Linked DNA regions of Diceros bicornis minor. The protein of the gene in region 1 binds, or shares a complex with, the protein of each later gene. Links are inferred from orthologs where the notes say so. Each region holds a gene or a part of one and is shown in the gene's direction. Other genes may lie near its edges.

Region 1 (8,112 bases):
AAAAGAAACCTTGGGGCCAGCCTCGTGGCTTAGCAGTTAAGTGTGTGCACTCCGCTACTGGCAGTCCGGGTTTGGATCCCGGGTGCGCACCGACGCACTGCTTGCCCGGCCATGCTGAGGCAGCGTCCCACATACAGCAACTAGAAGGATGTGCAACTATGACGTACAACTATCTACTGGGGCTTTGGGGAGAAAAAGGGAAATAAAAGGAGGAGGATTGGCAATAGATGTTAGCTCAGGGCCGTTCTTCCTCAGCAAAAAAAGAGGAGGATTTGTATGGATGTTAGCTCAGGGCTGATCTTCCTCACAAAAAAGAAAAGAAAAGAAACCTTAACTAAATTGGAGTTGGGAAGGCCTGTAGGAGGCACTCTCATGCCCTATCATACATGTCAATTACACCCCAACAGGAAGAGATGGAGGCTCTCATCTCCTACAGGAAGTACAACTACTTTACTACTGAAGGAAGATTTCTCTCCCCACCTGGCAACAGCCCAGCCAATGAGAAGCCGTTGCTGCCTAGAACTGTTACTTTCCCCCAATAGACTTTCCTTTAGAACAGTCCCTCCTGACTCCCCCTATTTCTCTATAAAAGCAGCTCCCCTCCTTTGTTCTCTGGATTTGCCCGTGGTTCCCTGTAGCATGCACATCCCGAATTGCAGTTCTTTTGGCTATTCCCGAATAAACTTGTTTTGAGAATAAAATAACAGGCGAATTGGCTTTTTAAATTGATACTTTGGGCCGGCCCCATGGCTTAGCGGTTAAGTGCGCGCGCTCCACTACTGGCGGCCCCGGTTTGGATCCCAGGCGCGCACCGACGCACTGCTTCTCCGGCCATGCTGAGGCCGCGTCCCACATACAGCAACTGGAAAGATGTGCAACTATGACATACAACTATCTACTGGGGCTTTGGGGGAAAAAAAGGAGGAGGATTGGCAATAGATGTTAGCTCAGAGCCAGTCTTCCTCAGCAAAAAGAGGAGGATTAGCACGGATGTTAGCTCAGGGCTGATCGTCCTCTCAAAAAAAAAAAAAAAGATGTAGCATAAGTTGACAGTCACCTTGACTTGGAGTTCCTCTGTCTCCCTCCATCCAACTGCCCAGTGTGGACACTTCCTTCACCTCAAGGCTCACTCAAATACCACTTCTGTCCGGGGGGCTTTTCTTTCCTCCCCCACGCCCCATCCCTGAACTCCTGACTGAGCCCCTTGATGGCTGGGCAGCCAGTGATGCAGCTCTGTGGCCCCCACAGCACACAGTGGTGCTGTTGTTCAACTGCAGACGCTTATTGAATAAGTTCATTCATTCATTCAACAAATATTTATTGGGTGCTGTTCCAAGGGTACCTGGGATTTGTTTTCATCAGGGATGGTAAGACATGCAAACATGGAAATGACTGCTACAAAAGGAGAAGTTTGTTATGTTCACGATTCGCTAGAAACAGGACGCACAGCACACCCTGCAGGGACACATGGGGAAGCACTGGGCTTGATCAGGAGGCAGAGGGAGCAAGGACAGAATGTGGGAAGAAGCCTTTATTGTGGTTTCCACAGGAAGGAATGGGTGAGGCAGGGTGAGCAGGCTTAGGATTGGCTAGTTTGAATAATTTCAATGAGCTCTGAGGCATAGGGGCTGTCCCTAGTTGTCTGGTACCTGGCCCTGGGGTGATGAGGGCAGGTGGATAGTGGCCCGGGGTGTGAGAGCCCCATAAAGGAGGTGGTTGGGGGTGTGTGCTCTGGGCTGGGTAGTTTGCACATGAAAAGCACACTCCTGGGCCAGTTGTTAACTATCTAGGAACTAGCTAACCCTGGGAGAAGCAGTCCTTTCAGGATCAGCAAAGTCTAAGATATCCAAGCATCAGATCACAGAAAATAGAGGACGTGGTTAAGACAAGGGCCTGCTATGTATCCAGACAGTCCTAGGACTGGGCTGTGAACAAAACAGACAAGGTCTGGGCATTTGCGGGGTTCATATCCCTCGGGGGAGACAGATGGAGCAAACAAACAAGCAAATACATATTTTGTAAATCTATCTTATCTTTTCAACAAATACTGTATGGCTGCCCTCTATATGCCAGACTCAGTTCTCAGCACTGATGCACACTGAACAAAACAGATAAAGTCCCTGTTCTGAGAGCACTCACGTTCTCGTGGAGAAAGACTGCGAAAAACGAGCAAACAAGAAAATTCAGTGACAAGAAGTAAAACAGGATCAAGTGATAAAAAAGGGACTGAGAGTTATTCCAGATCAGGTGGTCAGGGAAGGCTTCTCTGAGGAGGTGATATTTGAGCTGAGATCTGAGTGAGGAGAAGCAGCCAGCCACACAAAGACCTGGGGGAAGAGAATTCCATGCAGAGCTCGCCAAAAGCGCAGTGATCCTGGGGGTGGTGACAAGCTTTGCATGCGGAACTCAGAAGAGACCAGCGCATCTGGCTGCAGCATAGTGAGTAAGGGAGTGGTTAGGAGGCAAGTGAGGTCAGAGATGGACAGGGCCACAATGATGAGTTTGGATTTTATTCTTAGTGTAAAGGGAAGCTGCCAGAATGTTCTAAGCAAGGAAATGGTTTAATCTGATCTGTTTTTTAAAGCTCCCTCTGGCTGCTATATGGAGATTGGATGGTAGGAGGCAAATGTAGAATTAGGGAGACGAGCTACTAGGTGATACCCAGGTAAGGGATGACGTTGATCGGCTTGGAGTGTGGCCCTGGAGATGCACCGATGGGGAGGTAGATGGATGTGGGGGAATCCATGAATGTGAGACCCGACTGGCCATTAAAATCACTCACGGAGTTAAAACACACACTCAGAGACTTCTGGGACCCCACCTTTGTAGAACCTCAACGGCTAAGTCTGGGCTCAGGAATCTGTTTCTAACAAGCCCCTCTGGGATGTGCACTCTGTTTCCGGGTGGCTGCTTGTCTCCGGGGTGTGAAGAGGCAAGTGCGATGCAGAGACAGGAGCACCAGAGGGGGCTCTGCAGTCTTGGGTTCTAGTCCCAGCTGCAGGTCTGTTGTTGGGACTCGGTGGCCCCAAATGATTGTCAGGAATACCAATGCCTACCTCCAAGATGGGCCGAGTGTGAGGGATAACTACAACAATGTTTGTAAAGCACTCAGCAAAGTACCAGGCCCCCCGGAAGTGTGTAGGCAAGGGTGCAGGGTCTGGGGTACAGCAGGTGCAGTCGGAAGGAACACTGGCCCTGCCACCAAGTGCTGTGTGAATTCCAGTCCTTGAGGGCCTCGATTTCCTCCTCTATAAAAAGATATCTGCAATGGACTGAATGTTTATGTCCCCCCAAATTCATATGTTGAAATCCTAACCCCTAAGGTGATGGTATTAGGAGGTGGGGGCTTTGGGAGGTGATTAGGTCATGAAAGGGAGCCTTCATGAATGGGATTAGTGCCCTTATAAAAGAGACCCCAGAGAGCTCCCTCACTCCTCCCACCATGTGAGGACCCAGTGAGAAGACAGTGGTCTGTGAACCAGGGAATGAGCTCTGGCCAGACACTGAATCTGCTACCACACTAAGAGAGCATCCATAATCTCAACGTTGTGACAGGCTTGTAAACGTGAGTGCTGTGAGAATGGGAGAGGCTAAGGTTACGTCCATCCCTCTTGGGATGAGACTGGATGATGTCAAGACTACACCCCACTCGGTCTAGGAGCACTCCTAGGCCCAGCTCCCTAGCTGACTGGGCTATGCTGGCTCAAAGGACACCACTGCCCTCTTATGGCCGAGGCTGGACTCAACAGATGGACCCTTCTCACACTTTCTTGGCTCTAGGATCTTGCTGCAGGCAGGGAAGAGGGCAAGTGTTTGGTCTGCCCACTGACGGGATGACCTATGGAGCTCTAGAATTTATATCATCGACTGCCGCACGGGTTGGATTTCTTGACAAGTGTAGTAGTAAGCCTTGCTTAGGTGAAAGAAATTCACTCAATTTGGAGATTTATCAAACAATTGGTCTGATGGAGGCAGCAGGCCTGATTTACTGAACACAGCATGTGGGGCTGATGCATCTTATTTCATTTAATCCTCTTTAGGGTCCTCGTGCATAAAGAATTATCATTTCCAATTTCCTGAGGTTGAAACTCAGTTTGTTGTGAATACTACAAACCATGCAGGACAAGGGTGAGGGAGAGGCTAGTGGGAGGCGGGGAGATGAGACGACAGAAATGCTCCTATGTTAAACAGGACACCGAGAAAAAAAACCACATATACATCTCTCTGTCCACGCTGTATCCTCAAAACTGAGCCTGGCACACAGCAAGCGCTGAATTCCCAGTATGTAAGTAATATATAAGTGAAGGAAATATAAGCCAGGATCTTTGTACTATCTGTGCACTTGTCTTCCCTACCAAATATACCTGCCTTGTAACGTTTAAAGGTTTCTTGTTTTTTCAAAAGAAATGTTAGGGTAAATCACCTCACTCCAAAGAAGTCATTATGAAAGAAGGAACCAGCACCCACGGGGCGGCTGTTACGTAGTATACTGGGGCTACTAGGAACAGTAAGAAAAAGGCCTCTTCTTTCTGTCCAAATAGCGTTTTCTGTAGATCCCACCTCCTGATCGTTCTGAGCTCTCTCATACAAAAACATCAGATTTTAGCAGCTTAGAGTTGGAAGGAAACTCAGAGGTCCATTTCTCAATTATCTCTAACCCTGGTAAGCAATAAATGGAATGATGAGTACCAGAGAGTTTTGGTAAAAAGTCAAACGGTATACAACCCGAGATTTTATTCCACACGTGCAGCCTTGCCAATAGTAAAAATGGCAACTCGGCTCCCTTCTTCCCTTCATGTTAACCTAATGGTTGACAATAGTCAGCATGGCCGCCAGACCGTGAGTTCCCATTGGCGGCTGCTCTGAGGCCCCGCCCCGCGCGCCCCTCCCTGAGACGGCCGGGAATTGCAGGGCCGGATCTCGCGGCTGCGGCCTGGCTGCGCCTGCGCGAGTCTTTGGCGCCAAGATGGCGATGGAGATGAGGCTGCCTGTGGCTCGGAAGCCTCTTAGCGAGAGCCTGGGCCGCGAGAGTAAGAAACACCTGGTGGTGCCGGGGGACACGATCACCACGGACACGGGCTTCATGCGGTACGTGGGAACTTGGGGACGCGGGGCCACAAGGGGCGGCTGCAGGACTCTCTGCACGTGGCCTGCTGGCCGAAACCCGGGCCGCTGTCCCCTTGCGTCTAAGGCCCTGCGGGACCCAGGGCACATCTGAGCATCCCAGTTGCCTCGTTTCCGGGTCTCGGGCTTCTAGTCCCTGCATCTTGTGTATCCCCATCGGCCTCCTGAAACCGTCCTCTCCTGATCTCTGGTGGCCGTGACTCCTGGGTCCTCTGCCTGAGGTCCATTTCTCTGAGCCTTCCTCGTTGGAGACCTGGAAACCGGGGAGGGTTAGGGGCAGGGCCTCTTAATAGTTTTCAGCTATCTGAGGGGACGGTGGGCTTTCCTGACTCGACCTCCTGTCCTCTCGGCGTCATCTCCTAGCCGGGTGCTCGGTTTTGGAATCAGTAATGTTTGGGTTTAGGGCAAAAATATATTGTGCTCCATGCACCCAAACAGACAACTTTAAATCTGAAAGCAGTACAATATGTTGTAGTTAAGAGGGCAGCTCTGCGTCGGACAGTTGGGGTTCCAGACCTGCTGTCACCTGTTATTAGCTGTATTACCTCTCCCAGGTCAGTTTCCTTGTCTGGAAGAAAATGATAAGAACAGTAACTATTTGATAGGGTCATGAGGATTAAATGAGGTAATAATTAAGAAAAGAAGCAAAACTCACCATCATATCACCATCGTAGATAAACACAAGTGTTATTTCAGCCTTTTTTGTGGGGGGTACACATGTACATGTAGGAGGGCTACTGCATTTACAGCATTGCCCTTTAACCTTTTGGTTTGAGGTTACTAGATCCTAGGAAATCTTTTTTTTTTTTTGAGGAAGATCAGCCCTGAGCTAACATCTGCCAATCCTCCTCTTTTTGCTGAGGAAGACTGGCCGTGGGCTAACATCCATGTCCATCTTCCTCCACTTTATATGGGACGCCGCCACAGCATGGCTTGCCAAGCGGTGCGTTGGTGCGCGCCTGGGATCCGAACCTGCAAACCCTGGGCCGCCACAGCGGAGTGCACGCACTGAACCGCTTGCGCCACCGGGCTGGCCCTTGGATCCTAGGAAATCCTAAGATTCAGTTCTTCATTCATGCATTCAACATATATTTATGTTGTGTGTGGTTAGGGTGCAACAGTGAACAAAGTGGGAGTCTCTGTCCTGGTGGAGTTTAACAGGGAGAGACAGATGATAAACAATAAGCACAAACAAATGAATTATTCAGAATGTTTGGTGCTAAATGCAGTGCAAAAAATTAAAAGTCGAGCAGGGTAAGTGGAATGTGGTTGGGAATGTGATGGGGGTGGTAGCAGCAGGGTGGGTGACTATTTTAAATGGGGTAGTCGAGGAAGGCCTAATGGCGAAAGTGACATGTGAGTAGACTTGAGTAAGATGAGGGAGATGTCCCTGTAGCTCTCTAGAGAAGGAGTGTTGTAGGCAGAGGGAGCAACCAGCACAAAAGTTAGGCTTTAAGGCAGGAGGAGCCTGTTAGGTTTGAGGAATACATTGTTCTTGACGGGAGAAGTCATCTCAAGTGTTACCCTGATATCCTTTGTATCTTCCTCTTGCAACAGCGGCCATGGGACTTACATGGGGGAAGAGAAGCTCATTGCGTCTGTGGCTGGATCTGTGGAGAGAGTGAACAAGTTGATCTGTGTGAAAGCTTTGAAAACCAGGTGAGAACAAAAGGTGTGTATTCTCTGTCTTGTGGCATCCATATCGCACAACCAGGTTTTTTCTGCCACACCACACCTCCCACCCCCACCCCCGTCTGCCTTCTCATTCTGTAGGTCTGCGATTTGGAACATGTATAGGTGACTGTAGAAAGTGCAGGCTTCAAAGGTTTCCCCACATTATGTGACCTCTCCAAACCTTTGTTCCCTCCTCTGCAAAATGAGGATAATATCATGACCTACCTTATAGGATTTTCATTAGAATTCATTGGAAAGGTGCATGTAAAGTACTTAGCACTGGGCCTCCTACCTAAAAGGACTCAATAAAGGTTAGCCCGAGAAAGGAAGCCAGTGGGGTCAGAACAGAGTGAGTGAGGGGGAGAGTAGGAGCAGATGCAGGCAGAGAGCTGAGGTGGGCAGTCGGCCTGCCTTGGAGCCATGATAAGCATTTTGACATCCACTTTGTATAATCTGGGAAGCCACCGGAGGGGCTGGAGCAGAAGAGGGGCATGATCTGACTTCTGTTTTAAGAAAATCACTCTGGCTGCTGTGGGGGGATTGAAGAGGGACAGGCGCAGGCTCAGGGAGACAGATTAGGGGACTGTTTTCATCATCTGAAGTGATGGTGGCTTGGACTAAGGTGGTAGCAGTAGAAGTGGGGAATAGCGATTAATTCTGCATATCTTTTGTGTTCTGAGTTTTTATTATAAAAGGGTGTTTGATTTTGTATTCTTTGGGATTTTCTATATATAGGACCATGTTTATGAGTAGAAAGAGTTGTACTTCTTCCTTTCCGATTTGGATGCCTTTTATTTTCTGGTGAAAGTAGAGCCACTAGGATCTGCTGCTGGACTTGTCCTGGAGCATGAGAGAGAGAGAGAAATCAAGGGTTCCTCCAAGAACTCCAAGGTTTTTGGCTTGAGCAGCTGGAGGGATGGAGTTGCCGTTCACTGAGATGGTGATGACTGGGAGAGGATCAGTTTGCAGTGGAGGAGGGCGGGGAGCTGCTGGAAAGCTTTGTTTTAGGTTTATTTCATTTGAAAATGTGTCTTAGTCACATAAATGGAGATGTTGGGTAGCCAGTGGTTCACTGCCGTCTGGAATTCAGGGGAACTGTACAGTCATGAGTGGTATTTAAAGCCATTAGGTTGGATGAGCTCACCAAGAGGTGAGTGTGGGACAAAAAGAGAAGAGTGCCAAGGACTGAGCCTTCACTGTGGACCACTTCATCATTAGCCCTGGAGTGAGGAACTAGCAGAGGGGCCTGAGACAGCAACCAGTGTGTTGGGGACAGTGAGTAGCCTGGTTTGGGTCATGTCCTGTCTCAGTCTC
Region 2 (7,328 bases), on another chromosome or scaffold:
ACTGGCGGCCCGGGTTCGGATCCCGGGCACGCACGGACGCACCGCTTGTCCAGCCATGCTGAGGCGGCGTCCCACATACAGCAACTAACAGGATGTACAACTACAACATACAACTATCTATTGGGCCTTTGGGGAGAAAAGGGGGAAAAAAAAGGAGGAGGATTGGCAATAGACGTTAGCTCAGGGCCGGTCTTCCCCAGCAAAAAGAGGAGGATTGGCATGGATGTTAGCTCAGGCCTGATCTTCCTTACTAAATAAACAAACAAACAAACAAATAAATAAATAAATAAAAGTTGGTTTTCTGTTTGTGATATTGGTTAATTTAAAAAATTTGTGTTACCTGTTGTGATTTCTTTTCTTCCTCTATTCAATTTTGGATATAGGATTTTATCTTCTATTTCTTAAAGAGGGCCCTGTGTGAAAAGAGTTAACACAGCGGGCCTGAGACTGCTCTCCTTCAGGAGGTGTGCTTGCAAAGTTGGCTGGTGTCTGGGAACGTAGATTTTGGGAGGGTTCCCACCATTCCCTGTAAGAGTGGCTCACTGAGCCTAAAATGTTCGTACAAAGACATATGGTTCATGCTGAACTCCTGCTTTCCTTCTGGGAGTCTGGAATTTGGGTATGTGCCAGGCAGAGGGTGCCTATGTGACCAGTCCCCCCCGAAAGCCCTGGACACTGGGTCTCCAGGGAGCCTCCCCGGTGGACAACATTTCACATAGGCTTTTGCTCCTTGTTTCTGGGGAAATGGAGTGTGTCCTGTTCCATTTCTCCAACAGAGGACTCGGGAAGCTTGCGCTTGATTTCCTCTGACTTTGCCCCAGGTGCATTTTCCTTAGCTGATTTTGATTAATATCTTTTCTCTGTAATAAATCTTAGCCATGAGTATGACTATATGTGCTGAATTTTATGAGTCCTCCTAGAAAATCACTGAACCCAGGGGTGGTCTTGGGGATCCCCAACACAGCTCCAAAATTTGTATAAGCTTTAGACCCCCAAGACCTGGATCCCGCCATGTGGGTGACCTATGGCTAGAATACAAGGGTCAGAGAACCAAGGGGGGCAGGAATGATCCGTAGCGTAAACTGGAGATGCTGCCAGCTTGGAGGTCCTAGTTCCCAGGGGTGGGGAACACTTCCACCAGGGGACACAGTAAGGGTTCCACTGATCTGGAACAGTCACCACCCAGCCACTTTGGGCTCCTTAGGCCCATGACAAACATTATCCTGATTATCCTGTGATTCTAGGGCCAATACTGCACAACGGGGGCCAAGCACCCGTGGGGCTTCCACCTGCATCAATGGACAACTACAGCAATCTCTATCTACTATGAGCTCACATCGCTGAGGGAGGAAGGCTCGGGTCACTCTACGAGTAACCAGCTGGGTCCAGCTGAAGAGCCAAGGGTGGGGGAATCAAGGGTGGCTAGTGGCAGAGGATGATGGCCATCATGGCCTCAGACCAGGTGCAGTGGCAGGACTGTGGCTGGCTCACTAGCCCTCGTGCTGCAGTCTTCTAGGAGCCCACCACCTTGGAAGGGATGCTGTGCCTGCAGGACTGTGGTCCTAGCCTGCCACAGTACATCCATCCCACCAGCTCTTCTAACAGCCTGACATTAACCCTGCTCCTACTGAGGGGTGGGGTCCATGTCCCCTCCCCTTGAGCCTGGGCAGACCTTCGTGATCACCTTGACCCATAGAGTCTGGCGGCAGTGACACCACGTGATTCCTGAGACTAGGTCTTAAAACACCATGCATGCCCACCTTGTTGTCTTGGGAAGTCACCTTGGAACCCAGGCGCCATGCTTTGAGGAACCCATGCTGCCTGGAGAGGCCATGTGTGGGTGTGCTGTCTCAACAGCCAGCATCAACCACAAAAGATGTGAGGGAGGAAGTCTTTGAGACAATGCCAGCCCCAGCCACCATCCACAGTGACCACAGGGAGGAAAGATTCTAAGTGCAAACTGCCTAGCTGAGCCCAGGCAACCACCAGAACTGCAAGAAATAATATAATTATTTTTTGTTATTTGAAGTCACTAAGGTTATGCAAGAGGTAAACAGACATACAACCCCTACACAATGCCTTTTTGGAAAGGGTGAGGGTATCTTCATTCTTAAAGGGAAAAAGGAGGCCGTTTTACTTCATTGGATATAATGGGAGGGCATGAGAAGACCTGAAAGAGGCCACATGTGGGCCATATGGGGACACTGGCCTGTGCACCTTAGGCCTCCGTGTATGTTGCCTCCTCTTGGCGAGCGTAGCAACCACGTCGGTTCATCCTTCCACTTTCAAACTTGAAGCATGGGATCTGGCTTCCTAAGCGCTGCAGAGGGGCTGAATAATGCAACTGGTAGAGGGGGAAATGAGCTCCCTGCTGGTGACTTTGACCACTGGGAAAGAGAGGTACTTGGAGACAGGAGGTACCTGGGATGGGAAGCCCCTCATTTCTCCCTCCTGTAGACCCATCAGCAGTCCCATTGGACTGGACTGACATGAGAGGCTGGAATATACCAGGCCAGGAAATGCAAGAGAGTAACAACACCATGTCAGTAACACTCCACAGACTGGCAAGGATTATGTAAAAAACTGTAACACTTATTCCTGGTGGGAAAGGAGGGGAAAAGGAATTCACACTTCCAGCCTTCACCCAGAAAGTCCCTATCTTGGAGTTTCATCCCCCAAGTATAAGCCCCTGAACACACAGCCACTGTCCATAACGGGGCAGTGGCCAGGATATGTCCTGCTATGTACATCCATGGGTATCAAGCAGCCAACAAAAAATCAATGATAGTTCCACAGGACTATATGGATGAATTTCATAAGGTTTTTTTTTTTTTTTTGAGGAAGATCGGCCCTGAGCTAACATCTGCCAACCCTCCTCTTTTTGCTGAGGAAGACTGGCCCTGGGCTAACATCCATGCCCATCTTCCTCCACTTTATATGGGACACCACCACAGCATGGCTTGACAAGCAGTGCCTTGGTGTGTGCCCAGGGTTCCCAACTGGCAAGCCCCCCGTCGCCACATTGCAGCGCACACACTTAACTGCTTGCGCCACCAGGCCGGCCCCCATAAGGTATTTTTTAAGTGAAAAACAGAAAAGTGTGTATGAAATGTCTACTTAAAAAGCAAATTTACCTGTTATTTTATCCTTAAAACCAGTTTATTCCAGAATAGCCAAAAGAGTTCCAATTCCAGAAGTGCATGCTATGGAGAAGGATAAAATCCAGTCAACTAAGGAGGAGAGCTGTCTTTATAGAGAAAAGGGGGAGCAGGGAGGGGCTGTTCTAAAGGAAAGTCCAGGGGCCGGCCCGTGGCTTAGCAGTTAAGTGCGCGCGCTCTGCTACTAGCGGCCGAGTTCGGATCCCGGGTGCGCACCGACGCACCGCTCCTCCAGCCATGCTGACACTGAGTCCCACATACAACAACTAGAAGGATGTGCAACTATGACACACAACTATCTACTAGGGCTTGAGGGGGGGGATTAAAAAAAAAAAAGGAAAGTCCATTAGGGGAAAGTAATAGTTCGGGGCAGCAACAGCTTCTCATTGGCTGAGCTGTGGTGTTTCTCATTGGCTGAGCTGTGGTGTTTCTCATTGACTGAGCTGTGGTGTTTCGCATTGGCTGGGCTGTTGCCAGGTGGGGAGAGAAATCTTCCTTCCTAGTAAAGTAGTTGTACTTCCCGTCAGAGACACAAGCTCTTCTCTTCCTGGTTGGTGTGATTGAGACGTGTGATGGTGGTGAGAGCTCCCCCTGCAGGTCTCCCCAGTCCAGTTTAGTTAAGGTTTCTTTTATTAATTTCCACAGAAGTGATCCCATTTAAAAAAGTAACCAGAGTTCCAAGAGGCACTGTACGGCTGTACATGTACAACTGCATGTATCTGTGTATGACTTGATGTAATTATGAGGACAACATGGAAGGAACCATTTATGAGGTTAAGATAGATGGGGGGTTGCGGACAGAAGAACCATGCCAACAAGGAAAACAAAATTAAAACTGCTATAAAAAGAACATGACCACGTGTAAGTATAATATAAGTTATGCATGTTTTTTAAAAGAACGAATGTAAACATTAAAGGGTAAGAAAAGGAGAAGAGGAAGTGCGTCTGGGCCTGGATGAACCAGTGCGACCAAGAACTAGAAGCCATCAGAGACGAGACGGTTCTCCCTTCCTGCGTCGCTGCTCTCGCCCAGCGAACCGCGAAGGACACTCCAGGCGTCCAGGGATAGCACAGGGAAGCCAGCCGCCCGGGGCTGGGCGCAGAGAGGAGGCGCGGCCGGAGCCCTCGGGCCCTTGGACGGGTCTCAGGCGCGCGCCGGCAGCGGCCAGCGCGTCAGCACACTACCCAATGGGGCGCAACCGGGGGACTCTGCCCTCAGCGGGTCTCTACCCGCGGCAGCCTCAGGACAGCTCCCCCAAACGGCCGCCGGTACGGTCTTCTCTCCCGGGGTCAGCACCGCCCAACTTCCCCGGGACCGGAAATGAGGAAAGTGGCGCAGCCGGGAACCTTAGTTTTCTGAGACCGGAAGTGGGGAGTCGGACCGCCGGAAACCATATGCCCCCGGGAGGTCAGAAGTGCGTAGTCAGGGCCGCCGGGAACTGTAGTTCTCTGTGAGGCGGAAGTGGGGCAGGCGGTCGGCGGCATGGCGGGGCTGGAGCTCCTGTCGGACCAAGGCTACCGGGTGGATGGGCGGCGCGCCGGGGAGCTGCGCAAGATCCAGGCGCGGATGGGCGTGTTCGCGCAGGCCGATGGCTCGGCCTACATCGAGCAGGGCAACACCAAAGCGCTAGCCGTGGTCTACGGGCCCCACGAGGCGAGTGGGCTTGCGTGCGCGAGCCGGGCAGCCCCGGGGTCGGGTGGAGGAACAGGGCGGCGGCCGCTCTGCGGGGTGCGCGTGGCCGCCAGGCTGACCAAGGCTCCGGAGGCGACGGCCGGCGTGCGCCTGCGTCTCCGCAGCACAGTTTCACGGCCGCGGCTCACTCGGAGTAAAAGCCAAAGTCCTTACTGTGATGCACGGTGGTCCTTGCCTTTCTCATCAGCCACTCTCCCTTGCGCTCTCCACTCTTTGCTGTTTCTCAGAGCGCCAAGCGCGCTCCCACTCGCTCCCTACCTCTCACCTCTCTACTCCAACGTCACCGTCGGGATGACGCCTCCCCAGACCACCTTATCCACTTGGCAAGTCCCCTTCCCTACGATCACACACCTCCCTGCCTTTCTGCACCTGTAACCTCAGACATTAACCTATCTTTCTCATCGTTTGTCTCCCCGCTAAAACATAAACTCCATGAGGACAGGGATTTAAAAGCGCCCGGTTTTATTGCCATGTCTCCAGCTCTGAAACAGTGTCTGCCACCGCAGGCATGAAAAAATGTTTGCTTAGCACATGAGTCTAGGAGCCCAGCCTTCCAGCGGGGGGGAACCAGGAGGGGAAAGGCCAGAGGGTGGAAACAAGCATAGCACGTTTTCAGAGCAGAAAGGCTGCTGGTGGGGGAGATAGGGAATAATTCCAAATGAGATTGATGGGTTTCTAGGGAGGGGAGAACTCATGGCTTTGTGGACGAGGGAAAAGATTTAGGATTTTATCTCACACGTGATGGAAAGCCTTTGGAAGGTAAGTAGGATATATGAGTGTGTAAAGGAGATAGAATCAGATTTGATGTTTGTAAACATACTCTGGCTTTGGCTACAAATGGAAAATGGGTTGGGAGGGGATGAGGCAAGGATGGACACAGGAAGGCCTATTAAGAGAGATGAGATCCAGAGGTGATGGTGGCTTAGAGACTGGCCAGTGGCCCTCCCTCAGGCTGTATTTCGGAGTTCAAGTAGTTGTGTTTGTTGAGATGTTGGAGATAGAAGGAGAGGAAGGAGGGAGGCTGAGGTTCCAGTCCTGAGCCAGAGGAAGGGGTAGTGTGAGCTGGGAGGAGTGGGCCTGGCTCATGTGTCCTTCCTTCCCCAGATCCGGGGCTCCCGGGCACGAGCCCTGCCAGACAGGGCCCTGGTGAACTGTCAGTACAGTTCCGCAACCTTCAGCACAGGTGAGCGCAAGCGGCGGCCACACGGGGACCGGAAGTCCTTCGAGATGGGCCTGCAGCTGCGTCAGACCTTTGAGGCGGCCATCCTTACACAGCTGCACCCACGCTCCCAGATTGATATCTATGTGCAGGTGAGCAGGCAGCAGCCCTCAACCCGGGGAGGGGATGGAGGCTGTGAGAGGGGATGGAGGTCCGCAGCCTAATGGACTGATGCCGCTGTGGGGGGTCCCTACAGGTGCTGCAGGCAGATGGTGGGACCTATGCGGCTTGTGTGAATGCAGCCATGCTGGCAGTGCTGGACGCTGGGATACCCATGCAGGACTTTGTGTGTGCCTGCTCAGCTGGCTTTGTGGACGGCACAGCCCTGGCAGACCTCAGCCACGTGGAGGAAGCAGCTGGTGGCCCCCAGCTGGCCCTGGCCCTGCTGCCGGCCTCAGGCCAGATTGCACTGCTTGAGATGGACGCCAGGCTGCATGAAGACCACCTGGAGCAGGTGTTAGAGGCCGCTGCCCGGGCCGCCCGCGATGTGCACACCCTGTTGGACCGTGTGGTCCGGCAGCATGTGCGCGAGGCCTCTATCTTGCTGGAGGACTGAGCATCCAGCCACCTATGCCCAGAATAAAATCCACACAGTCCACTGTACTCGGATCTCCTCACAGCACTTCCATGCCCTCAGAGCCTGGCCTGGTGCTGGCTCCTGGGGGTGACTAGAAACCCTCCCCCACACATGAACTACATATCTCTTGCAGCCTCAGGATTCAAACCCTGAAGAAGGTGGGGGAGTGTGTCCCTGGGTGGAGAGAGCAGCTTGTGCCAGGAAGGGTTCAAGGCAGCTGAGCAGGGAGGTGTGGCCTGGCAGAATGAACCAGGCCATTAGACTGTGGAGTCTTGCATCCTCCTCTTAGCACATCCAGGACCCTGACCACAAGGGCTGAGGGAGAACTCGGCTGGCTGTGGACATGTAGGGGGCCATGTCCCATATCCCCTAGATTGTGGCTTGGATGTAATGGCCCCTTTCCCCACTAGGAGCCGCTTGGGCCTGTCCTGCTACTTACCTTGGTCTCCAAAAGTACAACAGACATGTGTTCTCACCTGGAGTCTTTCCCCCTCAGCTCTGACCCTTCCTCAGTGGATACAGACACTACCCCTGCCCCACCACTGCACCTTCCTCTTCAGCAGACTCCCCCTTCCTCTACCTCTGGCCTCAGACCTGCCAGAGCCCTGATCACCATCCCCTGCAGCCTGCACCCAGGAGCTGCTTCTCCCCTAATATCCCAGGCACCTCTCTGCCTGGACA
Region 3 (7,205 bases), about 32 Mb from region 1:
ACTGTTGTCTTAATTTCATTTTTTGGTTGTTCATTTCAAGTGTATAGAAATGCAATTGATTTCTGTATATTGTTCTTGAATCTGGCATCCTTGCTGAACTTGTTTGTTAGTTCTAAACTAAAGTTTTTTTTTTTTTTATGGATTCTTTAGGATTTTCTATATACCAGACCATTTCACCTGCAACTAGAGATAGTTTTACTTTTTCCTTTCCAATCTGGATACCTTTCATTTCTTTTTCATTTCTATCCCAACTGCCTGTGATAGACCCTCCAGTACAATGTTGAATAAAGTGGAGAGGGCAGACTTCCTTGTCTTGTTCCTCATCTTAGGGAAAAAGCTTTCAGTCTTTCACCATTAAGTATGATGTTAGCTGTGGGTTTTTCATAGATGCCCTTTATTAGGTTAAGGAGGTTCCTTTCTAATGCTAGTTTATTGAGTGTTTTTATCATGACACAGTGTTGGACGTTTTCAAATGCTTTTTCTGCATCTATTGAGATAATAATGTGGTTTTTGTCCTTTATTCTATTGATATGGTGTATTATATTAATTGATTTCAGATGCATTAAAATCCCATTTGGTCATACTGTATAATCCTTTTTATATGTTGCGATTTAGCTTGCTAGTATTTTGTTGCGGATTTTTGTGTCTTATATGCATGAGAGATATTGATCTGTAGTTTCCTTTTCCTGTGATATCTTTGGTTTTGATATCAGGGCAATAATGACCTCATAGAATGAGTTGGGATGTGTACCCTCCTCTTCTGTTTTTTTGGAAGAGTTTGTGAAGAATGGGTATTAATTCTTTAAATGTTTGGTAGAATTCATCAGTGAAGCCATCTGGGCCTGAGTAGACTCCACTTTACTGCTGTTACTGATGAGTTTGTTGACTTTACAACCTCATGAGACCTTGGACCAGTTATCAATGTATTGCTGCTCAGCTCTAAACTCACCCTTTACTGCCTGCTCTGAGAAAATGGATCTGGTCCTTTAAGATATCTTTCCTTTGCTGTCTCTCATGAAGACAATCTTTGTAGGTAGAAGGCCCTGCAGAGGCATTGCAGGAGGAATGGGTTTTGCTTCCTGGCTCCATTGTGCTCTCTGGTATGCGCCTGCAGCATGGCAGCTTCTCAGGCTTTGCTTGGTGCCCAGAAACACCCAGCAGCCAGCAGTTTTCCCCAGCACCCTATCAGGCAGTTTTGTAATAGAGCCTTCCAGGAGACACCTCCCCAGGAATAGCTTTCCCCAGCGCCCTAGAAGTGCCAGCAAGTTCCACTGGCACAGATTCCCAGTGACTCCCACCCTTTAACAAGCCGTGGCCCTGTCCTCTCCAACAAGGTCTCAATCGGTCCTGGCCAGCAGGGTGCTCTTCCTCGGGTGCGAGCTCTAATTCTTATTAGCCATGATTACTTGTGACTAAAAATATCTGTAGCAAGTAGACTCTCACTTGTGCAGTGGTAACTGTGAGCATTTGCGTTTAAATTCTTTACTTGAATAAAGATATTAACACTTCTATGGACTCTTTTACTATTAATTTCTGTATACAAATCAGCATGTAGTTCATTTGTAACTGTTAGAAACCAGTGAACTAAAAAATTTTAAAGGTTCACTCAAATATTACCTCCTTTGGGACACCTATCTTGACTCCAACCTTCCTCCCACATACAGTGAACCATTTCATCCTCTGTAGTCGGGGCTGACACCCTCATCAGATTGGTGCACCCACCGTAACACTTGGTATCTTCATGCGGAGACAGTAGGGCAGGGACCATGATTCAACTGATTGCCCAGCTCAATTCCTGGCTCGGAGCAAATGCTCAACTAGTGTCGTCGATTGAAAGGAAACAAACCCGTCCAACTTCATTACTCAATAAAGAAAAGCAACCGTGAGATGCCACTTTTCCACCTTCTCAAGTAGCAAAGGTTTCTAAAGAGGAAGTTTGGGGAGAGAGTCCGAAGGCCGGGGTCCGGTCCAACCTTTCCGAAGGGAAAGCTGGTCCTTCCCCCGAGGGAAATACTGAGAAACGGGAGGTGTGCGCCAGAGGCGGTCGAGGGCAGCGCCGCGCCTCCTGCGCGGGCTCCCACCCGGCAAGCCCCCAGACTGTCTTACGCTAGGGTAGAGTCGGCCCGGATCAGGAGTGGGCCTCAGCCCCCGGCCGCCCCGCCGGGAGCCCCCGCGCGGCCGCGAGGAAGGCGCGCCGCCGAACCCCGGCACGGCCGCCTCCGCGCGCCCATCTCCACCGGCCCTTTCACACCCGCGGCGCTCCAGCCCGTCCGCGTTCGGACGCGAACTTCGTAACCGCGCCCCAACCGGACCCTAAGGCCGGCCGCGGCTCGGAGCCGGGCTTCCCCCGGCCGGCACGCGGGGGGCCCTCCGCGTCTCCCGGCCCGCCCGCCGGCCTCAGCCGGGCCGCGCGCTCCCGCTCACCAGCGGCCGCGGGGCGCCGGGGCGGCGACGCACCCACGCGAAGGCACGCGGCGCGGAGGCCCGACCGCCTCTCCAGGCGTGTCGGGGACGGCGACCCCGCGCGGGGCTGACGACCCGCCCCTCCCGCCGAGCTTCCGGTCTCCAGCGACTGCCCTACTCTCGGCTTCTAGTTCCTTCTGTTGACTTGGGAATGAGGCGCACGATGCCCACGTGCCGCCCCCACCGGGAGGTGGACTTGATAGGCCTCCTCAGCCAGATTTGGACCGAAAGTCTCTTTTTCCAGACTCCTCTGCCGACGTGGGGTGCGTGAGGGACAACCCAGGGATCATTTCTCGACCTCCCTCTCTGCCTGGTCACACTCCAGGTCACTGAGCGCCCTGGGCATGGCCTTGGGCCAGCCGCGATCACCCGATACCTACTGGTTCCAGGCCTTCTACAGCTGGGTTGGAGTGGGGAGGAGAGACAAAGAATGTACACAGTTCCGCCTGCCAGGATAACCGACAAAGAGCAGTTCCTACAACCATCTGACTGCAAAACAAAAGCTACATTTCAGTTGGCCTCTTAATATTCTCTCATTCAGTTGGCTCGCCAGCATCTTTCCAAATTTGGACGGTATGTTAGAGATGGTCTGTCTTAAACATCCTAAAAATCTAAAAATTCACGTTGGGAGCAGATGCCTCAAAGAGATGGGCAGAGCCAGGCCCTCCAGTCCCCAGGAGCTCTCACCCCTCTGGGGGATCTGACCAAACGCCAGTTGGAGGTGCCAGTTGACAGAGGAAACTGATTTCAAGTAAGAGCCCTGAAAGTCAAGGATTGGCTGTGTGCTGGGGACCTGGAATTCGGCAGCTTCTCACCCGGGCAACTAAAGTGTGCTCCAGGGCAGGCAGCAGCAAGGACTGAACTGCACTCAGTTTTCCCGGGCCATGTAGGGTAGCTCAGTTATGCGGAAATGCGCATGTGATGTGTGTGTTTGCAGGGAAAAAAAAGTCTAGGGAGAAATGCATACCAAAATGTTAACATCCACTCATCCTTCAGGAATTACCTGTTTGGTGCCAGACCCTGGGCTACATAGAATAACTCGCTGACAGCCTAGCAAGGGAGACAAACGGGAGAAGACTAATGCGTTTTATTTTCTTTTATTATTCTGTTTTCCACAATGTGAATAGATATCTTCTCTAGCAACAACCAAAAAGGTTTTATTTTGAAGAAGAGAAATACGTTTCCTTGAGGGCGGAGTCGGAAGGAAGGGCCCCCTCCGCTCAGTTCCCAAGGTTCCCACGGACCCACAGGTGAGAGCGTCTGGTATCCCACTGTGCGACCGAGCACGGCAAGTGCAGGCTCTGCGATCGACTCCAGCTGCGTGTTTCTCGGAGCGACCCGCGGACAGACTGCAGGACAGGCGGCCGGCTGAGACACAATCATGGCCTCCTCGGCGGGCCCACCGGCCCGCCGCGGCCAGGCTTCTTAGACGTAGTTGGTTCAAGTCCAACAGACCGCAACTGCCGGAAACGGAAGGGCTGGGGCGGGCTGGCGATTGGACGCGGAGCGGAAGCGGAAGCCGGAAAGTGTGTGGTGGCGTCCGGTATGGCGGAGGCGGCGGCCGTGGCGGCCGAGTGCCCTGCGGGTGGCCGGGCGCGGGCGGCGCGCGCCGTGCTGGATCAGGTGGTGCTCCCGGGTGAGGAGCTGCTGCTGCCGGAGCAGGAGGACGCGGACGGCCCGGGAAGCGCCGGGGAGCGGCCGCTGCGCCTGAATGCCGGGGCGCGCGCCCGGGTGCGCGTCGTGTGCGGCCCGGGCTTGCGGCGCTGTGGCGACCGCCTGCTGGTCACCAAGTGCGGCCGCCTCCGTCACAAGGAGCCCGGTGGCGGCGGCGGCGGCGGCGGCAGCGGCGTGTACTGGGTGGACTCGCAGCAGAAACGGGTGAGTTGGGGCTCCGGAGGGGTGGTACGGCCGTGCGGGTGGTCTCCCCGCTCTGGGAAGACTTCTCGGAAGAGACAGCGAGGCGGCCCTGGAGCCCACCTCTGTTAAGGCTGGCCTAGAGCCCCGTCGTCTTGTGCCCACCTCTGCATCTCCTGTGGAGGGACCGTGAACAGCGGGAACGTGGCCCGAGAAGGGCAACCCGGAGAGAGAGGAGTTTGGGAATCTTGGCGTATAACGGGATAAGGACTGTGAGACATGGTCATTGTCTGCAAAATCCCACAGGTCGGGGCACCTGGCTTATCTTTTGGGGTCTCGGAGGGCAGAACCAGTCTCACTGAGTGGATGTCACAGGGAGTTAAATTTCTCTTAAAATAAGTGAGAACTTTCATATAGGAAAAATTGTGTAACAATGAAGTGGCCTTCCTTGGTTGTGAGGACGCCTTGTGTCACTGGACTTAATGTGCAAGTGGCGGCTGGGCCCTTCCTGATAAGGTTACTGAAGAGGTATGGGATACGGACCGTTTGAAGCTGTAAAGCTGAGCGCTTATGACGTGATTGTTTTTCTTTTGTTGAAAATGGCGTATGATCAAGTTTGTTGTAAGATTTGTATTAATTTATGAACTTGGATTTCAAAATATTTTTGGAATATCTCTAATGACAAACATAATAAAATAATCACTAAGGACTTGCTGAAGACATCTTCCAAGATCTCTTGGAAATGATTGTCATTATGGTTGTTCTCTTGTTCTGTTTTCTTTTGTAGTATGTCCCAGTGAAAGGAGACCATGTGATTGGCATAGTGACAGCTAAATCTGGAGATACATTCAAAGTTGATGTTGGAGGGAGTGAGCCTGCTTCTTTGTCTTACTTGGCATTTGAAGGTGCAACTAAAAGAAACAGACCAAATGTGCAGGTAATGATGGGAGCATTTGGTTTTAAAAGAAAAGCATCCAAATATTCAGAAACACTCAGATATTCAGGAGGCTACCTGAATTGTTTCCTAAGCTTGACCTCTTTTCCCAGTCTTGTCGTATGATCTCTCAGTGTCTGTGTAATCACTCCAGGCTCCAGGAGTTCCTTCCGAGGCTCCAGCTCTGGGACCAGAGCCACATACTTATTTTACATTTGCTTATTTAAATTGGGGGATGTTTCATCTCTACGGAGTTGAAAGGTTATATCTGTTCTTTCCGTCGTTATCTGTTATGTCTGTATCCACGGGACAAAGAAGTAAGCCGTAGGCTTAGGGAGGAAGGAGGAATAAGTGGTGAGAATTGCCATATCAGCCCACCATCCATCCTGATTGTAGGTCCTGGGTCTGGCACCTCACAACGTCAGTCACATCACTGTTTCCCAGCAATCCCTTCTTGGAGCTGACAGAGGAGCAGTCTTGTTACCTCAAGTTTTCAACTGGGGCTTTTCGTGGAGCATAGCCACACTCTTCCTATCCACCCAAGCCAGAAACTTGGTGGTTTCTTTGCCCCGTCTCACTCACCTCTCATGTGTCTTTAGTTGCGTAATCTTACTGATCTTTTTTGTTTCTGTTTCTGATTTTCTGCATATCCACCCCTGTATCTCCATTTCACAAGTTCTGGCCTTAGCTACCTCTTGACTGGACTCGGTCAGTGACCTCCTCGTTAACATCCCTGCCTGTACACATTTGCCCCTCCAACCAGGCTTTTGAGAGCTGACAGCCTCACACACTCCCCTTCCTCCAAAAAAAACAAAAAGGGTTTCTTCAAAGCCTACATATTTCTTTGGCATTATACTCCAGAAGTCTTCCCTCATCCATAATTTTTTCCTCTATGCAGCCATGCCTGAACCACACCAAACTATTTACCAGCATTACTGAACTCATAACTTCCTGTCCTTGTGCCTTTGCTCATGGTGTTCCCTCTATCTGGACTACTCTGTCCCCTCTCAGCCTGTGGAACACATGCTCATCTTTTGAGACCCAGGCTAAACACCACCACCTCTGTAAAACCATCCCGAATCCTCAATCACTTTTCTGATAACTTTGCTCCAGCACTTCCTGGATTCAGCCTTGAATGAAGTTTGTTGTTTATATGTACATCCCCACTGCGCTCTGAGACCAAATGCTTCTGAAAGGCAGAGAATGTTTTGTTCCTCTCCAGTTCCTTTAGTCACCAACAAATGGTACATACTTAACAGAACAAGTTCACTCTCCATTTCCTTAGTTTCATCATTTTGAAGTTCAACTCTGAGGTTTTTAAGTAAATCTTGCATGGAGAACTGTCAGTGAATTACCATTGTTCCATTTTTTTTTTTTTTTTGTGAGGAAGATCAGCCCTGAACTAACATCTGATGCCAATCCTCCTCTTTTTGCTGAGGAAGACTGGCCCTGAGCTAACATCTATGTGCGTCTTCCTCCACTTTATGTGGGACGCCGCCACAGCATGGCCTAACAAGCAGTGCATCAGTGCGTGCTGGGGATCTGAACCGGGGAACCCCGGGCCGCCAGCAGCGGAGCGTGCGCACTTAACCGCTTGCGCCACTGGGTGGGCCCCCACCAGTTCCATTTTGCTTCGAATAATTTGCATGTCAGGGGCTTCTTTTATCCATCAATCTTCTGTAATTCCTAGAGCAGTGCTGTCTGAGAGAGGTTTCTGTGATGACGCTAATGTTTTACATCTGCACTGACTAGTATGGTAGCCACTAGCCACACATGGCTGTTGAGCGCTTGAAATGTGGCTAATGCAACTGAGGAACTGATATTTTAAATATCTAATTTTAATTAATTTAAATATAAGATTAAATAACTACATGTCGGTAATGGCTACCATATTGGACAGTGTAACCCTAGAGGGTGTTCTCTCTCTTTGAGATGGCTCTCAGAGTCTGGGGAT
Region 4 (7,487 bases), on another chromosome or scaffold:
ACTGAGTAGGTTCGGAGGATGAGGGGCAAGACACATAGGTAGGCAATGGCCACGATGGAGCTGGTCAGCACGATCACCAGCACCACGAACACCTGCCAACACCAGTGAGGTCAGGCAGATGCAGAGAGAGAGCTTGCCAACACCCAGAGTAGACTTAGGAATTTCCCGGGGTGGGGGGAGGCTGGCCTCCAAAGCCCAGTGTGGGTCCATCACACACATGTTCCTCTGCTACCCCAAAATATCCCTTTTCCTATTCCTTGGGCATCACTCACCACCCCACACCAGCGGATCACGTTGTCCACCAGCCAGTAGATGGGCTCAAAGGCAGCATCGACAGCAGTGTCAGTGCCCCCAAAGGAGTTGTAGAGCAGGGAGCGCAGGCAGACCTTGCCATAGCGCCAGCGCTGTACCAGGCCCCGGAGCAGAGGTGGGCAGCGGCGCCTGTAGCCCAGGAGCAGAAGCAGGCGCAGGCAGAGGCGGGCAGGGCCCAGCAGCAGGCTCCGCTGGCCCCGCATGGCTCCTAGGAGAGCATATTGTTGTGAGGGGCCAGCCTGGGTCCTGTCCCTCCCTACCCCACCAGTGGGGAGGCCCAGAACACCAGCTTAGAGGCAAAGACCTAAGGCTGAGGCCTAGCTGGGCCAGTCACCAGCTGTGGGAAGTAGGAAAGTCACTTCTCTACAGAATGTGTGATGCCAGTGTCCCAATCACGTTACAGGGAGTAGGGTCTGGAGGTTCTGAGCCTGCAGAAATCCTACTTACATTCCACCACGTGGTTGCACAGGAAATCCAAGATGATGCACACCTAGAGTAAAGGGCCACAGTAAAGGGGTGAGGGAGGCAGGCGGCTCCAAGCCAAAGCACAAAGCAGGGTCAGACCACCGGGTGGAGCACAGGCAATGTGCACAAAGCTGCCCACTGCGTCTCTATGGGCATGGCCACTGCAGCAGAAGTTTCCCAGGGTCTCTTGTCCGCCCTGCCCCATCAACCTACCTCCTAACAATTGCTCTTCAACATGGAACAGCCAGTAGGGGAGTGAGGGCACAGCATGTGGACTCTGCACCTAGATCTTCCTGGTGCTTTCTGACTCTTGGCAAAAGACACTCAGCCTTCCTACTCCCTCTGAGCTGACGTTACAGGCCACCAGACCCAACCTGGTAGCAGGTAGAGTCCCTAAATCCTGTCAGGACAGCTCAGCTACCCCTTGCATGATATAAGATGCTTTGCTTCCAATTCCAGGCCCAGCCCCAGCCCAAGGACACAGAAGCCAAGACAACTTCAGGTATTCAGAGCAGAAAAACACCACAGGCAGGCAACCACTGGCAGTGGGAGGGGCATCCATGCTGGTGGCTCCTAAGACCACAGGGCCTGTCCTCTCTGTGATGAGTCTCCCCTGCCTTGTTCTAGTTGGACACTCAAGAGCCTTCTCTGCGGCTGCTGCCCTTGGCCCCAAGCTTCCCAACCAGTCTTCTCGGCTCTTTAGCCCTCTGCACAGCTCCTCTGCAAGCACCTTCATCTCCTCTATGTGGTCTCTATCTCATCCAACAGCCGTGCAAGGTCACCTGCCCACAAGACACAGATTCCTTCGATGATAGTCTCATCAATTCCGCAGATTACAGTCCTTACAAGGAAAGAAATTAACCAGTTTTCCCCTAGGGCTACTTTGTCCTCAGCAACTCCCCTGACTTATTTAACAGGCAGCTTGAAACCCAGCAGAAACTGGAGGAGGCTGCTCCACTGTAGGGACAGTTTCAATTCAGTCACTGGAGCAAAGTATTCTCCTTGCACCTGGCTCATCCCCACAAGAGGCCTTTCAAAGAAAACATTTAATCACCTCCTTCCACAAGGTCTGTAACGACTTAACGCAAAATGAAATTTGGCAGACAAGGCCAGCACAGAAACAGAAGAAAGACAATTTAGTAGGGATCTACTCTCTGCACAAGGATAAAGAAACTGGCCATTCCCATCACCTCCTAAGAGCTAAGAGAATTAAGGGGCAGCGTAGAAAAGAGAAAAAGGAAAAGCTCAAACTTCCTACTTCCTTTGAGTTGGACTCCTATTCTTTGGAACCATGGTTTGGCTGGAACCTTGAATTTTCAAAATAGTATACAGCCACAATCAAATATAAGAGTGGGACAAAACATTTTACCCCACAACCATTCCAAGTGACCTGGATTGCCCACACCACTGTTCATTCCCTTACTATGGCTAATGGAGAGTTTCCTATTTGCAATAGCTTGCAAATAAGATGCATTCCTCATCTGTAATAAACATGAATTAAATACCATCTCTCCTTTCTACCAAAAAAATCTTCCTTCTCAGACTCTCCACTTTTCGGAATGTTCTCAACCACCTCCAGAATTCCTAAGCTCTACAGGAAATGCCTGCCTCAAGGACTTGACTTACTAACTCTCATCTGCCCCGTAACTTGACTGCTTAGGGTTCAGTTCTGCCTTTAAGTAGTTCTGTGACCTTGGGCAAATCTCCGAACTCTACTGAGACTCAATTTCTTTGTGTTCCCATTCAATGAAGGGGTAGGATTAAATGCTAAGGTCCCTTCCAGCTCCACCCCTTTACGATTCTAGACACACACTTGGTAAGGTATAAATGAAATGTTTATAAAGTGCTTAGCACAATACCTGGACCATGGAAGTACTCAATAAAGACTTGCTGAAGGAATGACCTGGAGGGATGCTGAAGTGGAAAAGAAAGGCTGGCCAGATGTCTATCTGTCCTACAAATAACAAGGGCATGCCTGCCAATGTGATTACAGTAAACAAGTGTCTGTTGCTATCATGTTTCATGATCAACAGAGAGACAGAGAAACCATTGCTAGAATCATATAGACTTAAGGTTAGATAGCATTTCAGAAACAAGTCCAACCAGAAATCAACCCAAATATGTAAACAGAAAGCTTGTAGATGCAGAGCTACATATCAGATTTGAAGGAACAAAGTCTGAAGCCAAGCTCCCCATCATTTTAGCTAGTGGGATTTGGGGGGTATGGGATGCCAGGGAAGAGATATGTAGTCCATGGGGCCACAACCGAACGTAGGGAGTTTTCATCTCAGGAAACTGAGGTAAAGGAGAACTCAAAAAAATTATGTGTGGGAAGCGGTCTTGTCCCATCCGTCTCCCGTCTCCCCATCTCCTTCCCCCCCCCCCCCCCCCCCCCCCCGCTGATCTCAGGGGGAAGGGAGGAAACAAAGCAAAGCACATCTTTACCCCAAGCACAAGTCTTGAGCACTACTGATCACAGGCCATAGTAACATCCCCACCAGATTAGAGGGGACTGCAGGCCACAGCACTCCCCTCTTCCCAAGGCTCTAAGTCACCAACTGTTTCCCAAGGGGAATCTGGATGAGGGGGAGCGGGTGTTGCACAGGGAGGGACAGATTCCAAAGCCACTAAAAGACAGAGAAAACTAAGATGAAAGTCGTGGCCAATCTCATCCGGACAAAGATGCTGCTCTCAGGATGTTCGCAGTCTTAAGCAGCAGAGGTCAATCATCAACAAGAGTAGCAATTTTATTCATGTGCAGACTTCCCTTCTGGACTAATGCTAGGAAGAGAAAAAGTTAAGGATGGGCCCACACTAGACCTCCGCTTGAGAGGATCCGACTGCAAGATCGGCAGCTGCAATTACAAAAACCGGGAAAAGGTTTTCTCAATGAGGGTGGCGTGGTCAAAGTGCGATGGATTGGACGTTAAAAAACTCGGATTCCAGCTGGGGCTCTACTTTGAACTATCTTCGAGACAGTGGACAAGTCAAATCCTAGCCCTGGATCTGAGTTTCCTAATCTGTGAAATGGGCGAGTTAGGTTGCTGACCTCCTCCCAGCTCCGCGCGTTACGGGTGCCCGGAGGGTACGCTCCACCCAGCTGAAACAGGGCACGGCCGTGCAGGGCGGGGCGAGGAGAGAGCAGGAACCCGGGCTCACGAGACGGCCCCGGAACAGGGCCCGACCCTAGAAAAAGGGACAGGACTGGGGAGCAAAAGCCGCGGCTTGGCTCTTACCTGCCGACTCCCCAGTCAGCCAAATCGAACCCCGCAGCCTCCGCCGCCGCTCACGGCCACCCCCTCCAGCTCTGCGCCCTGGCCCGGCTCGGCTCAAAGAGTCCAAGCATGGCCTGCCACCCACAGCGCCGGTCCGCAGACCCGGACCCGCCGCCAGCCCATTCTCGACAACAGGCGCAAGCGCAAGCGCAGGCGCTCCGGAGCTCCGCCCCCGGGCTCGTCCCTGGCCACGTGGGAAATGGAGTCTACCCCCTGAGGGGGGAGGGCCCCCCGTCGGAGAGCACGTGATGAATCGCACCAATTGGCACGCTTCTTACTGCGGAACTGCAACTGGATTTTGGCCAATGAGAAGCCGCCTTGGTTTGCCTCCGGTTTCGGGGTAGTGGCAATCATGGCGCCACCCGTGAGGTACTGCATCCCCGGTAAGTGAGCGGTGCCCACAGCGAATCCTGGACAGGCACAGAGGTGGGAAGGCTGGACGGCCAGCACCTCCTGGGGCCCCGTGGCTGATGCAGCGCTTTTTCTTCAGGCGAACGTCTGTGTAACTTGGAGGAGGGCAGTCCGGGCAGCGGCACTTACACCCGGCACGGCTACATCTTTTCGTCGCTTGCTGGCTGCCTGACGAAGAGCAGCGAGAACGGCGCGGTAAAGGGGGCGGCATCCCATCTCCGTCCCTGCCTTTCTTTTAGGCCGCCTTGGATTTCGCGGCCCTAGCCAGGGGCGCCGCGGGCGCGTCTTTAGTGCTCAGCGGCAGAACGAGCTGGTTTCTGAGTGTCTTCCGCTGTGGTCCCCGCTGCCGGGCGCCTAGCCACCTGACAGTTGTGTTAGTCTCACTTGGTTGTGTCGCTGACACTCAGGGAAGGAAGTAGGGGAAGAGCAGAGGCGAGCTCAGCCCTGCAGTGAGCTGAATTCTGTCCGAATGTCGCCTACTCTCCGGCCTCATCTCGCTTCACTGTCCCCGCCTCGCTCTCTGCGATCTAGTCATACGGGCTTCTGTCAGTGTCGCTAATGCGCCAGGCTTTCTCCTGCCACAGAGCCTCTGTACACACACCGTCTGTCTGAAACGTGCTCCTTTCCTCCTTAGCCTATTTAAGTCCTACCTATTCTTCACGTAGCCCCTCTGGTATCACTTTCTTAGAGAAGCCTCCTAGACCCGCTAGTTGAGGAGAGGAGTTTTGTTTTTTGTTTGTTGCTTGTTTTGTTAAACACTCACGAAGAATTGTATTTCTTTCCTTTCAAGCATTTATAGTTAAACACTCAGTTAAATGTTGTCCGCTAGACTCTTTCCCTACTATAAGTTCTATGAAAACAGGCCTCACCACCAAACCTTCAGGGCCTAGCACAAAATAAATGCTCAATAAATGTTTGTTGAATGCATGAGCAATACTATCTTCCCTAGTTCCAGAGACTGATCCAGGATTAACTCATGATCAGATAAGGAGTCTTCGAAGTGACAGGTAGCATAGTAGAAAGAGGAGTCAGAATTAGAAGCTTAGCCACTGGCTAACTAGACCTCGATTCTGCTTTAGGTAAGAAACTTAAACTCTTTGGCTTTAGATTCTTCCTCATCTGTAAAACGAGAGGCTTTTTATTCAATCAATTTTGGGAATGTCCTTAACAATCGTGAGTTTATTTCACAGATATAGATATCGGTTGATGTGCCAGGCACAGTGCTGACCTCTAGGGATATGGTAATGAGCCAAATACACATGATCTCTGCTGTGAAGGCTCACAAACACAAATGTTAACAAATAAATGCTCAAATGAATGTATGGTTACAAATGTGATGACTGCTTTGAAAGAATATTATAGGGTACCATGTTCTCATATAATAGGCACACTTACCTAGTCATCGAAAGTGACATTTAACCTGAATCTAAAAGGTAAATAAGAGTTGGGTGGGTGGGGAGAGCTCAGTCCTGGCAGAAATAACAGGTTGAACAGAGATCCTGAGATGGGAAGAAATTTAGTGAGTTGGTGAAACTGAAAGAAGGCGGGGAGGGCTGAAGCATAGTGAACAAGGGAAAGATTAATAAAAGAGGAGATTCCAAATATCTTGTCTTACACCAGCACACAATACCACGCTCAAAGAGAAAACTCCACAAGTATTCCTTTAAAATAGAAGTAAACAGGGCCTCCCCTGTGGCTTAGCGGTTAAGTGCGGGCGCTCCACTACTGGCGGCCCGGGTTCGCATCCTGGGCGCGCACCGACGCACTGCTTCTCCAGCCATGCTGAGGCCGCGTCCCACATACAGCAACTAGAAGGATGTGCAGCTATGACCTACAACTATCTACTGGGGCTTTGGGGGAAAAATAAATAAACAAATAAAAAAATTTTAAATAGAAATAAACAAGTATGGCCACTATTATATAACATTTATTTGGAAATTCTAGCCTGTACAATAAAATGCGAGGCAGAAAGAAGTATAACTTTGGAGGAAAGAGTCAAATTATCCATGATTACAGACCCTATGGTTGTATACCAAGAAATTCTAAGAAAATCACCAAGATACGTATTAGAACTAATTGGAAATGGTTAGATTATGTCTTCTAGCAGCATTCTTCCTGTGGCTCCTTGGCCCTCCTATTTCCTAAATTTCTAAGGCTTTCTGTTCTGGGCTACAAATGCATCTGTAGTCCCCCTGCCCTTGTGACCTCAACTGTGAACCAAGGCATTCCTGTGTTACTCTCAAACCACAGATAGCTTTACCCAAGGCTTAGCCAGGATACTCATGTTTTATTGTTCTCTCTGTAGCTTCCTGTCGTGTCTGTGATGAGAGAAACAGAGTCCCAGTTACTGCCCGATGTGGGGGCTATTGTAACCTGTAAGGTAAGTTGGTCCTAACCTCCCTGCTTAGGACACCCGTCCAATGCTGAAATCAAGATCATTATAGAACTGCACTGTCCAATATGGTAGCCACTAGCCACATATGGCCATTTGAATTTAAATAAATTAAAATTAAGAATTTATTTCCTCAGTTCCACTAGCCACATTTCAAATGCTCAATAGCCACAGGTGATTAGAGGCTGCCATATTGGTCAGCACAGAACATTTCTGTCGTCACAGAAAGTTTTACTGGGCTGTGGTGGTCTAGAGATTTCTAGATAATGATTAATCCAGGCAAGTTCCGGCATGCATAGTTCTTTCACAGAGCTGGTTCTCTGAGTATATAGTTTTACCTGTGTCTGGGGAACAGGGGCACCAACGAGTGATAAGGAGGCCTATTTTTAAACACCTAAAGTGAGACCTTTTTCTGCAGAGAAGCAAAAGACTTTAAACTCTAGCATTCTTGTTTAAAGTCTTTTAGGGAGGGTATTTCAGGGGAAGTACAAATTAATCAGTACTGTAATACATCAGTACTCCCTGCCCATCCCTACCCTCTGCCTGGTTAAATTAACGTGTAGCTGTTAGTTTCTCTGTATAAATTGTTCCAGTGAAAATCTATGTCTTATTCTGAAAATAACTGGAGAGGC

What was found.
Region 2: EXOSC2 (region 1) and EXOSC4 share a complex: the UniProt entries of both Homo sapiens proteins name them as parts of the RNA exosome core complex. The link is inferred for Diceros bicornis minor from reciprocal best matches to the Homo sapiens genes EXOSC2 and EXOSC4.
Region 3: EXOSC2 (region 1) and EXOSC3 share a complex: the UniProt entries of both Homo sapiens proteins name them as parts of the RNA exosome core complex. The link is inferred for Diceros bicornis minor from reciprocal best matches to the Homo sapiens genes EXOSC2 and EXOSC3.
Region 4: EXOSC2 (region 1) and EXOSC1 share a complex: the UniProt entries of both Homo sapiens proteins name them as parts of the RNA exosome core complex. The link is inferred for Diceros bicornis minor from reciprocal best matches to the Homo sapiens genes EXOSC2 and EXOSC1.

What each region holds. Positions count from the first base shown.
Region 1 is NC_080767.1:38,100,840-38,108,951, forward strand, and holds the start of EXOSC2 (exosome complex component RRP4), read left to right. Parts: upstream 1-4,947; 5' UTR 4,948-4,966; coding exon 4,967-5,088; intron 5,089-6,681; coding exon 6,682-6,783; intron 6,784-8,112. UniProt on the Homo sapiens protein: Non-catalytic component of the RNA exosome complex which has 3'->5' exoribonuclease activity and participates in a multitude of cellular RNA processing and degradation events.
Region 2 is NC_080760.1:56,710,952-56,718,279, forward strand, and holds EXOSC4 (exosome complex component RRP41), read left to right. Parts: upstream 1-4,542; 5' UTR 4,543-4,641; coding exon 4,642-4,812; intron 4,813-5,955; coding exon 5,956-6,162; intron 6,163-6,266; coding exon 6,267-6,626; 3' UTR 6,627-6,673; downstream 6,674-7,328. UniProt on the Homo sapiens protein: Non-catalytic component of the RNA exosome complex which has 3'->5' exoribonuclease activity and participates in a multitude of cellular RNA processing and degradation events.
Region 3 is NC_080767.1:6,212,378-6,219,582, forward strand, and holds the start of EXOSC3 (exosome complex component RRP40), read left to right. Parts: upstream 1-3,993; 5' UTR 3,994-4,008; coding exon 4,009-4,341; intron 4,342-5,104; coding exon 5,105-5,254; intron 5,255-7,205. UniProt on the Homo sapiens protein: Non-catalytic component of the RNA exosome complex which has 3'->5' exoribonuclease activity and participates in a multitude of cellular RNA processing and degradation events.
Region 4 is NC_080745.1:63,229,582-63,237,068, reverse strand, and holds the start of EXOSC1 (exosome complex component CSL4), read left to right. Parts: upstream 1-4,350; 5' UTR 4,351-4,404; coding exon 4,405-4,435; intron 4,436-4,542; coding exon 4,543-4,658; intron 4,659-6,768; coding exon 6,769-6,843; intron 6,844-7,487. Other genes in the region: palmitoyltransferase ZDHHC16, read right to left, coding at 1-92, 273-515. UniProt on the Homo sapiens protein: Non-catalytic component of the RNA exosome complex which has 3'->5' exoribonuclease activity and participates in a multitude of cellular RNA processing and degradation events.